Linked DNA regions of Caenorhabditis elegans. The protein of the gene in region 2 purifies or fractionates together with the protein of the main gene of each other region. This does not show direct contact. Each region holds a gene or a part of one and is shown on either strand. Other genes may lie near its edges.

Evidence for each region. The genes of interacting proteins can lie anywhere in the genome.
Region 1: the proteins of C49A9.6 (region 2) and E02H4.2 fractionate together in Caenorhabditis elegans (co-fractionation; one large-scale study listed by BioGRID). This does not show direct contact.

What each region holds. Positions count from the first base shown.
Region 1 is NC_003284.9:14,276,586-14,283,571, forward strand, and holds E02H4.2 (MIF4G domain-containing protein), read right to left. Parts: upstream 5,042-6,986; 5' UTR 5,015-5,041; coding exon 4,898-5,014; intron 4,469-4,897; coding exon 4,307-4,468; intron 4,253-4,306; coding exon 4,190-4,252; intron 4,147-4,189; coding exon 4,051-4,146; intron 3,958-4,050; coding exon 3,841-3,957; intron 3,045-3,840; coding exon 2,961-3,044; intron 2,918-2,960; coding exon 2,701-2,917; intron 2,647-2,700; coding exon 1,878-2,646; intron 1,830-1,877; coding exon 1,740-1,829; intron 1,636-1,739; coding exon 1,579-1,635; intron 1,532-1,578; coding exon 1,451-1,531; intron 813-1,450; coding exon 779-812; 3' UTR 537-778; downstream 1-536. Other genes in the region: Degenerin del-1, read left to right, coding at 125-249, 301-455.
Region 2 is NC_003282.8:6,209,119-6,213,699, forward strand, and holds C49A9.6 (MATH (Meprin-associated Traf homology) domain containing), read left to right. Parts: upstream 1-1,817; 5' UTR 1,818-1,881; coding exon 1,882-2,130; intron 2,131-2,309; coding exon 2,310-2,434; intron 2,435-2,480; coding exon 2,481-2,822; intron 2,823-2,867; coding exon 2,868-3,114; intron 3,115-3,658; coding exon 3,659-3,778; 3' UTR 3,779-4,063; downstream 4,064-4,581. Other genes in the region: ugt-24 (UDP-glucuronosyltransferase), read right to left, coding at 1-135, 183-335.

The sequences.
Region 1 (6,986 bases), on a different chromosome or scaffold from region 2:
CAGAAAACATTTTTTTAAAGAATTTTTGGATATAACATGTAACTTGAAAAATGGTTTTGTTTCTAAAATACATTTATTCTCAAATAAATTAGTTGACAGTTAATGACAAAAAATCGATTTTCAGAGAACACGCCGCAATGATTGAAATTTATTATGAACAAATGAGCTATGAGATATTGAGAGAATCTGAGTCGTATTCTTGGTTCAACTTGATGGCCGATATGGGTGGCCAAGCTGGCTTGTTTTTAGGTGATTTTAAACAATTTGAGTAACTCGCAATTCAAAAAGTGAATTTTTCAGGCGCAAGCATTATGAGCGTGATTGAGTTTTTATTCTTCGCTGTCCGAACTCTTGGAATTGCATGTAAGCCAAGAAGATGGAGGCAGAAAACGGAATTATTACGAGCTGAAGAATTGAATGATGCGGAAAAAGGAGTATCCACAAATAATAATTGATTTTTGATCTCTGTGGAATTCAAATGTGAATAAACAGGTTTTTTTCAAACAGTCTACTCGGGCTCATAAAAAATCCACAAGAAGATACATTTTATTTTGATCAACTTTGACCGTAAAAAGTTGATATTCAAGAGAAAACATGGAAAGGTTGCTGTTGAATACACATAATGTTGAAGAGAAGATTTGTGTGGCCGGATTTCGAACTGGGATTCCAAATTTTGCTAAACGAAAATTATACAAACAAAGTAATTGAAGAATACAGGAAAATGAGAATGAGCTAAAAAACACAAAAACAGATAGAATGAAACGCACAGCTCCGTTGCTTAGTTTAGTTGAAAGTTTGTCAAGTGGAGAACTCTGTAAAATTTATTTTCAGTCCCGTTATCCACTTTCACGTCAAATCAGTAGTGCCATGAATCCTTCCGACCAACGTCATAAAGATTGATGATGTACCAACTATGCTAGTTAGTAGTTATTACACCAACATAGTTGATACATTCAATTTCTACGTTACAACATCTTGACAGGTTTTCCCTCGAGAATGGCCTGTGAGCCTGTAGAGAGAAGTGAACCTGTAGAGTACACAGACAACATAACTGCCCAGGAAAAAAAGGAAAAAACTATCAAGATGTTTTCGCCACATTTGAATGATTAATTATTAAAAAACCACGAATTCATGAGAATGCCTATTTTCTGAAAAAAAAAAGCGGCAACGAGATATCATTCAAAAATGTAAGATTTAGGTGCCTTCGCTACGAGATATTCGCGCGCCAGAACGGTATGCATTCTCATGATCAGGTGGTTTTTTAATAAGTGTTAATGATTCAGTAACAAATGAGTGAATAAGTAAAATATTTTTTTTAGTTCCTATTCAGTATCAGGGCCGGGGTTTACTCCGAAACAGCTATGCCTATGTTATTCTTGTAACATCGTTTTCAGGACTAAAAGTCTGGTTTGTATGCAAGTTTACCATTCTTCACATTAGTTCAACTCACTCTTTCTTGTCAACTTTCTTATTGTATTTTGATTTCTTGCCAATGCCCGAACAGCAGCCGTAACCGGGGTTTTTGAGAGTTCTAAAACATGATGTGCATTATAAAAAATACTTCCGTTGTCAACTTACGAAGCTTTGTGTGGGCTTTGTGAAGAATCTGCGCACGAGACTATAATGATTGAAGGTCTGAAATTTTAATGACAATGGCGGTTGAACTCAGAACTTAAATTGAATTTCATGAATGTCAAAAATAATAATTTGTTTTCAATTAATATTTATTGTAAACTCACGGAGTATATTGTTCCAATTTTTCCCATGGATTGTTTTTGTTGAATTGCATTTTTTGATCAATCTCAATGGGGACAGAAGGGTTGGAACTACTGGAGTATCATAATATTCGTAAGAAATTTCATTTTAAAAAAACTTACCCGCTTGAACTTTCAAAGGAACTTTCAGTTTCTGGATGTTCCTCATTTTCTATTGCAGCATGATCTAGAGACTGTCCAATATTTTCTTGCATGACATTCAAATGTATTTCTTGATGAAAGTCATTGATGTCACGGAGTAGATTTCTCTCGGCGAGGATTCGGATCGTTTCCTGCACAATTGTACTGATTGGTGCCTCCAATTGTGAAACTTTGCCGCTGACAACTCCAGTTTCTGTCGAAGGTGGCAATGGGTGATTCAGTGATACATCTATTGATTTGTTATTTGTTTCATCGTGAAGATTAGTAACGCTAAGAAGAATTGGTTCATCGTTGTTCGAAAAGTTTTCAGCAGTAGCGGTATCATGTTCAGCAAGTATTGTATTTTCAACTTCAGTAACTGATTTTGCAGCAGAAACTATAACGTCGGGCTCTGAGCGTTTAGAAGATTGTTCCGGTACAGTACAAAAAATATTGAATTCAGCAGGCCCTGTCTCATTCGGGCTCTCATTCTCGGCGACATCTGCGATCAAGCATTGCGATGATTTCATTTTCTCCGATTGGTTCCTTGTTTGACAATTTGTGAGCGTTGAATTATATTTTCCATAAGCGTCACCTTCATTCTTTTTAGTTTGTGGTTGAATTAAAGATTCTTCGGCATCTTCGTAAGCCGAGTTGAACGAGTCAGTAGATTGTATTGAGAGGGAGGGAGCAAGTACCATAGGAATTTCAACAACATTCGAAAGTTGTTGAGCGTTGCATCCATCAATATCTGAACGAGAGATGAATTTAAAAACAGAAAAAAATTGTATCGGACTCTTGTTACCTTTTGTTTTCAGAACACAAACTGTTTCATTTCCATGAGATATGACAATTTTAAGCTCAGTCTTGTTAGGAGACAGCGGTAATTCGGAAACGACACCTGATGAGGAGGATGAAGATGATGCATTATTGTTTGGCAAATGCTGTCTGGATACTTGATTTGAACGGTTTTGGTTATGGCCATGTTGGTTTTTCCTGTCGTTTCTCCGGAAATTGCTAGTCTAAATAACTCAATTCAAAAATGAAATAAATCAATATTGATACCTTGGAGTTACGGTTGTTTCCTCGGCAATTATGTTTTCTGTATTGAGAAGTAATGTCCGGTGGGAATAAAAACGGAGTCAAATGCTGTAAAGATGATTAAGATTTTCATGAAATTTTTTTTTTTGACACTAGTTAAAATTTAAATAAAATTATATTTCACTTAGGTAGTTTTGTTACGATCTCAAGGAGAGATGAACAATGAACGTATTGATTATTTTTTTACGGAAAGGGCAAAATTACATTTGAAACAGAGGTGGCGGCAATTGTCGTTTGGCAATCGAATTTTCGCCAATTTCGGCAGTTTTGGCAATTGCCGCAATTGCCGATTGCCGAAAATGTTGAAAACCGGCAATTGTCGGAATTACCGATTGCCGGAAGCCAGAATTGCCGGGAACATAAATTTAATACGTTTTGTAAATTTTTGAGTCTAAACATGCATTTAAAAGAAGATGTTTTCTTTTCAAGCTTAAAATGTTTAAATCCTGAAAGTTTTGGCCGTTATCTATTAGAAAATGACTAACCAAATACTAACAAGGTGATTTTTTTTTTCATTTTTTGAGTTATAATTATGTTTGAAAATTGCCGAAAATGTCCGGCAATCAGCAATTTCGGCAATTTTCGGAATCCCCGATTGCCGAAATATTTGAAAACCGACAATCGCCAAAATTGCCAAAATATTTGAAAACTGACAATTGCCAAAATTGCCGATTGCAGGAAAATTCCGATTTTTTTTAAGTGAGCATCAGCTTTCGAGTTTTCTGAGTCAACCTTTTATATTTTTCATTCCGACCTATTTTTTTTATTACAATAACTTCCAAAATCACTACTTTTTTACTGAACGTATTCAATTTAATTGTAAAACATTAAACTTCTTTCTTACATCCAAATAATTCAGGTCCTTCAGGTTCGGCGAGCTTTGAGCATTTGGAGTCCTTGGTTGGTACTGATAAGGAGGAGATACACAACACAACTTGTTCATTTGGTATTGATTACATGGCTGAATAAATTTTCCGTCCATGGTCTGATTATGGTAGGTTTAAAAAATGTGGAATGCCACGTAATTGTTCTCAATTGAAATTCTGATTTTTACCTGACTTTGTAAAGCATATTGCTCGGAATTGTAGTATTTTTGATGTGGCAGTTGTGCTGGGTGATTTTGGTTTGCATATTGGTAGCTTGTAAAATTCTGTAACATTTTAATTTCGAAATGTGTCAATAAAAGTCCGAACCTGAACATTCCAATTATTGGGTGGTTGAGATGGGTATGGGGCTGATGAAAATGTAGAATAATCCTGAATTCAAACATGAAACAACATTTAAATTTATAATTATCTGGTTTAAATTACCTGCACCACGGGAGCACCTTGAAAATACACTAAAGGATTTTGAGTTTCCGGAATCCACGAACTTTGGGGATACATCGGTTGCGAGAAAAACGCCGGGTTCGCTGGAGGGAATGTGTAGTATGTAGTCATCTGTGGAGCAAAACGTTCATACTTGGCAGGAAGCTGGAAATCCACTCAAAATATTATAAATTAAAAATTTTTAAATTTTTGGGTGAGGATGAACCAATGATATTCTGTATCTCCATGTGAGCACAGCAAAATACTCTTTCATTTTCATTGCACGCATTTTCATTAAGTCCCTTAATTTTTTTTTTTGCATAACTTGAAAATCGAGCATTAATCAACAAAAGCAACTGGTGTTATTCATGTTTTAGTGTGAGTGGAGATTTTGAAAAAAAAACACCGGCCAGTGCTCGTGCCGGTGCGGTACGAGGAAGAACATCTGTCACAAAATTAAGGACAGTGGTAAACATTCATCCCCACTAAACTGGCAAAAACAAAAAATGCTCGCAAGACCATGTCTCATATTTTTTCCATTTACTTTAAAACAAGCACAGTTTATATCTCTCAAAAGATTGAAAAAAAACATACCCGCGTTTCTGGACTTTTAATCGTTGACTGTGGATCTCCTTTGAATTCTTCATTTAAACCGTATTGTGGGGTCTGAGTTGGGTTCACAAAGCTTATTCTGTTAGAATTGGCTTCCATCGTTTGAGATTTAAATATGATCAATCTGAGATATATTTTTATGGCCCACCAGTGAATAAAAGGATATATGAAAAAAAAATAGAAGAATTGTAACATAGCACATACTTTAGTGACTAAATCTAGGTACACACTGTTAAAAATTTTCAAACATTATATTAGCATTCTATCAGTTTTGCACACTTCTGCATGTGTTCGAGGCTATCTAAATTATTCACAGCTTTTTTCAGACTTTTATAAAATTTCGTGTGATTAAAATTTTGCCAAGACTTGAGTCTCTACGTAAAATGTCAGTTTTGTAAATGAGAACAAGCTTTTGTATCGCATTGTTTCGTCGCTTTTTTTATACTAAAGTTCAAAATTTAGCTCACGCGTTGCCTATAATAAATTGACGCCTTTCCAAAGAATAGCAAAAAATAAAATCGAGAGAACGGAAAGGAGGAGACATCAAGATCCACAACTGAAAAAAAATGAGCATAAGACATTTGACTGTAGAAAAGAGAGCACAGAGAAGCTATGGCGCAGACAGAAAAGAGGCGGAGTTTTGAAAGATCATATGTAAGCGCATACATTTCCGAAAAGAGGGCTAACGAATATTCTTGTTCAACAACAAACCTTAAAAGCATTCATTTGCCATATGGTACAATTTTGAAATAGCTTTATGGCAACAAAGCAAAAGTCAAAAAAAAAGAGATTAAAGATGTATTTGATGAGATAGAACTGTTCAACTTTTTTTCAAGTATTAAGCTAAACGTGCAGCGGATTTATTTTTTTAAATTACTCATTTCAAGCTTCACGGGCTGCCCATAATATAAACTATTATAAAATCAATTTTTGAACAAGTTTACCTGTTATATATATTAGATGTAGATCAAAATCGTGAAACATTCTGAGATGTAATGAAATTTAATTTTTCACGAGAAACCAGATTCTAACATTTTGATACATTCAAAATGTTATCCAAAATCTCCAAGATGACAGGATAATTTATACATCACAAGGATTTGAACTAGAATTTTAGAATTCAGACTTTTGCAAATTTCTAAAATTGCTTCTTTGAAGTTACAAAACAGTTCCGTTTTCCTCAGGTTGCCAGTTTTTCAAAAACAAAAATATTGCAAAATTTACTGCAATTCAAAAAAAAATAGTACGTCGAGTGAAAAACTTTACATTGTTAAAATTACAGTGCATAAGAAAATATGACAGTTTGGTAATATAAACAGGCATGGCACACAATAAATTGTGCGGATAATTCAATTTAAAATTTTTGTAAGAATAGGGGCATTTTAAAACGGAAGTCGGTGATTTTTAACTCAATTAAAAATCTATATAAAGAATTGTAAAACAATTGACGCAAATTCAAAGTGTTGTAACCTTAAAACAATCAGAAGCATAATTAGTTTTGGTAATATGCAGCAAAACTGAACAAGCATACACTCAATTATGCATCATTTGAACTTTAGGATTTTGCAACTAGAAAAGAATAAAGTAAGATGATGTATTTTGAAACAAAAATACAAACTTCTAGCTCGAAGTTTAAAAATACCTTTGATTGAATGTTAGTGTGGAAATTTTTTGAAACAAAGTTAGGCACTTTGATACAAAACTACAAGAGAAAATTGAAGTTTCAATAAAATTTGTTAATTCCATTTTATACATTGAAATGTTATGTCGTCTTGATGGTGACTAGAAGAAAAGCCAACAGAGACATGTCGGAAGTTAATGGTTTTAGGGAAAACAAAACAATGTCAATTTGTGAAAACGTTCCGCGTACATCTTTTGTTGGGAAAAAACTTCACAAAAAAACAAATGCTGTCTATTATGAGAATTTGAATTTTTAAAATTAAAAATCCAGAGGTCTCTTTCTTTCTAATTGTCTAGTAATTGTAAATAGAAAGACGTCAAAACCAGAGAAAGTCAACATGAGTTTTATGTGAGTGATAATATTGGCATTTTGTTGTACTCTCCTTCTCAG
Region 2 (4,581 bases):
CAAACTTCCAGAAAATTGATCAATTTTGCTCATTTTTTCAACAACTTCCTCATCTGGCTCAATATAAATGACATTTTTAGTTTTCACGGAAGATTTGTCAAGTTGACTAGATTCAATTATTGGGCGGAATATTGTCTGGAAAAATTTAAAAAAATTAAAAAGTATTTAATTTAATTACGTACCACATTATGTCCTGCATCTGTTAAAGTATCAGCAACCGTGTTCAGTACTTTAATATGACTGTGACCGTACAAATTCGAATAAATTAGTATTTTATATGGAAGGGCAGCATTTAGAAGTTTGAATATAAATACAAATGTAGTTACTAAGTTCATCTGAGACTAAAAAAAACTTTTCAAAAAACTGTGTGTTGCAAAAGAGACTGCTGGTCTCTTTTGCGTAACATTGTGTGTCTATTGCGCAATTCTTTTTTTTCTGTTATTGTTAGAATGTAAACATTGAGCATTTTGAAAACAGGAAAATAGGGTTAAAGAAGTTGGTTGATGTGAAAAAAAAAGTCCAGCAAAAAATAAAAAATTTTCGAGTTACAATCTGAAATTGGGACAAAAGAAAAAAAACTGATTCACATGAGAAAAAAAACGCGCCTGATGTTGTGTTTGACATAACAATCATCGTATATTATCAATGAACAAATTGATTTGTTTTTTGTTATGAAATATACTTTTTTGTAACCCTTTGCCATTGTTTAGTAACTTTTTTAATATTTCAAATGCAATCAAAACCCAATTAAAGATTGTCCAAAGCAGCGTCGAAGACTCATCTGTGAAGTTACAGGCAAATTTTAAAGTTATTTTTATAACTAATAAATTTTCTTCGAATGTAAAATTATTGTTGAAATCATCAAACCGCTGCAACAAGCCTAGTGTGGATAAGGTTTTTTTTAATCGGTTCCCTGAAACTGTAAAAAAACCCTGAGCCTAATTTTTTGACATTATATCAAACTTCAACCAATAGATTGACAGACGAAAAAATAGATTGACAGACGAAAAATAGATTGACAGACGAAAAATAGATTGACAGACGAAAAATAGATTGACAGACGAAAAAATAGATTGACAGACGAAAAATATATTGACAGACGAAAAATAGATTGACAGACGAAAAATAGATTGACAGAGGGGGTGCAAGACTATTAGAGGCTGCAAGACTTATTTTCGAATGCTCCAAAACTTCGAAAAGTGACCAATTTTTGATTGCAAACTCAACGTGATATCGCTTAAACAACAAATATACATCTTTCTCCAATATTTCATCAATCAATTGAACGATTTTGATCAAAAACTCGAGTTCAATTTACCCAAAAATGGGTAAATTTATTAACGTCGCAACCTCTAAACAAGATATTGCTGAACTGGCAAACAGTCGAGTGCAAGACTATTAGAGGGCGGTTTAATATTTGATTCATAGATTTCCAGCAAATTCACAGGGGTGGCTGCGGGTCATTTTGTTTTGCCTCATTTGCAGAACTTAACTTTTTCTTTCAGCTTTACATAGTTGTCTATTATCAGTTAAATCAAAATATTTTCGAAAATTTTGCTGCTTTCAAATTTGTGCCTGAAAACAAGTGCGAATCGTTTCGAAACGTCCAATAAAATGCCAAAACTGGTGATTCAAATTTGCATGATGAAGGCAAACAAACCATATTTTTATTCCCCTTTTTCAAACGTTATCAGTTATCACAAGCGACTCTAGCCGGTCAACATTTTGTCTTCGGTTTATCGATTCAAACGTTTCTTTCTTTGTTTTTGTTTTATTCAGCGTTTTAACTTAATAAAACTTAATATATACTTTTACAGGGTACACAATACGAACCATTAAAGTTTAAACGATTGATTAAAAATAATAAAGCATTCTAAAACAATGTCCGGAAGAAAATTGTTCTTATTTGCCGCGAGAAGAGACATTACACGAGATGGTACATGCCTGATTCTCGCAGATCCAAAATCAGGAACTCGTCATTTCGAAAGTGAGAGTGATCTTAGAATCAGCGGAATTCAACTCGGAGATTTTGTTCATGTAAATGTAGATCCTGCTGGAAGACTTTACAACTTCTGCAAGACCAAACATACTGCAAACATAGAAGTTGAAACTGAAGGGAACGTGGCATATGTGAGTTATTTAAACAAATATTTTGTGAAACCACATTGGCGTACCTTACTTAAATTGATGTAGATCGAACCCTGAATTGAGGAAAAGTCAAGAAAATATGTTTACATTTGAAACTGTGGTTGAAAATTTGTTTTAATTTACGAAACTACGAAACCGACACAAAAAAAAATAGTTTTCAGATTCTGAACGTCTATGCCAAATTATCAGTAAGTGTTGGAAAACTGATATTTCACAATAATCTTTTTGGTGATGCAATCTGCCGGGAATCGTTGCTTCTGGGAGATTTTAGAATTCGAGTCAATTTGTATGAGATACCATACATATTTTATATTTCATTTCTGATATTCCAGACTTGCCTCACCTTTGGAAATTTCCAATGAGCGGAAATTACATTTCGAAGCTTCTCGTGCTGAACTTATAAAGCCCTATTCAATGGAACTTAGTAGAACAGACCAATCTGATCGAATGGACTCAGGATATTCATCAGTTTCAAGAGAATCGCCGCATCAATTAGATCAAACTGTCGGTAGGGGGTTTTCGACAGCTTTCGAAAATGGAGGAAAAATTATTGGAAGAGGATTTCAATCCGTCAAGCAAAACCCGGATATTATCAAACAAAGAGCTGTAGTTTTGAGTAGTGTTGAAAAACCAATTGGAACTCATTACTATTTATGGAATGTGGACTCCAAAACGTTTGTTCAAAATATGATCATTGATAATATGAATTAAAATTTCAGAGAGAGTCTGTTTGTCTCCAACAAACACCACTTAGAACAGGGTCACTTTTTTGATGGGAACTTCAAGAAAAATGCTGATGGAACCAGATGGACGTGCCAAAACTACGGACAACCCGTCGAGCAATTGGCTGAAGGGGGAATCAATCAACGGGGAAAAATATTCTTCACTGTGAAAATTGAGAACTTTCAACCAGCAAGAGGAAATCGAAAGTACGGCAGCGCTTTTAATAAATATTTTGGAGAAATTGTAAGTTTTAAAAAAGGAGAAGTGGGTGTGAGAAATTTATAGAAAACTGTAGTAAATTTTTAAGTATTCTCTACATATTAGTGCAGAATGCCGCACTTATTTTCGGGCTCTTTGCGACTGCCGCGCTTATTCTCGGACTTTCTTTAAAGTTTTCATTAACTACAAGATCTTTCACTATTTTAGTTTTGTTGAATTTTTGAGCATATTCGAGCACATATTCGATCAATTTCTTCCAATTTTTTCGAACTTCTGATGTCGATTTACTTGACATTTTTGTTCTAAACGATCAATAGAAACTTTAATGATAGTTGTTGAAAAAGAAAAACGGTAAAACTGAATTTTTAATATTCAATATTTCTTTTTACCTGAAGAACTAAAATAAATTAATCATTTTAAATGATTCAAAATTTAGTCCATTTTGCTGATTTTAAACTAAAGTTGCTCCCTTCCTGACAAAATGTTTTAGCAATTTCAATTAAAAAAAATGTTAGTTTACTTCATCTTTCAATAGTGTTACTTGAGAAAATAAAATCAATTATTTCAGTTAGAAGGAGATTCTGAAAATACAAAGTTATCAACCGATCATAACGGAAAAATGGTACATATCGAACGTCGTGGAATCGGAGAAAAAGATTATGTTTGGATGGTTACTCAAGTTTTATAAATGGGGCATTGCTGAAAAATTTAAAGAACCATGTTGAAGTCAATTTAACAATCGTATATTCATATTACTATTATGTTACTGATTCTATTACTAATTTGTTAATACATACATTAAAATTGTCACTTACTCTCTAAGTAGCATGTTCTTACTTGGCTCACTAATGAGGGCTCAAATTGTTTCATTAATTTTTTAGTTGGTAACATATTTTGTGTTGCACTGTTTTGTTTGCATCTTTTGTGTGAATGCATTACTTAAAGCCATTGAAGTTTAATAAATCTTTTTTTTAAATAGAAAATTGTGAACGCCCAATTTTTAGAACTCATTTCATGGCCAGAACTTGTGCTCAAAATATCAGTCTAGTAATATAATGTTTCCTGAAAATTAAGATTGTTTCATGATTTAATAAGAGAAGGAACGAGTATTTAGAATCACTTTATTAAAAAAAAAAATAAACGTAACCATATGGTAACACATTGTAGATGAGCATCCTTCGTGATTAATAGATATATCGTGTTTGCTTCTGTAAAAGCCTTTCTAATAAATCAAGATGTTTATTGCAATTTTTTTTATCTTCACCATTTGTTTTGTATATGATTTGAGCCATCACGGTTGTTTTTTTTTCAATAAGGACGTGAATCTCCTCTCTAATCTACCGTACTCTCTAAAACAAACAGTTACATCGTTAAAATCCAACATAAAATCGGAAATTCTACGTGCGTCACAGAACAATTAAAATTAATAGAGCTATTTCAGCATTTGAATTGCAAAAATGATAGGCTGGGCAAGAAAGGTGGAGCGTGAAA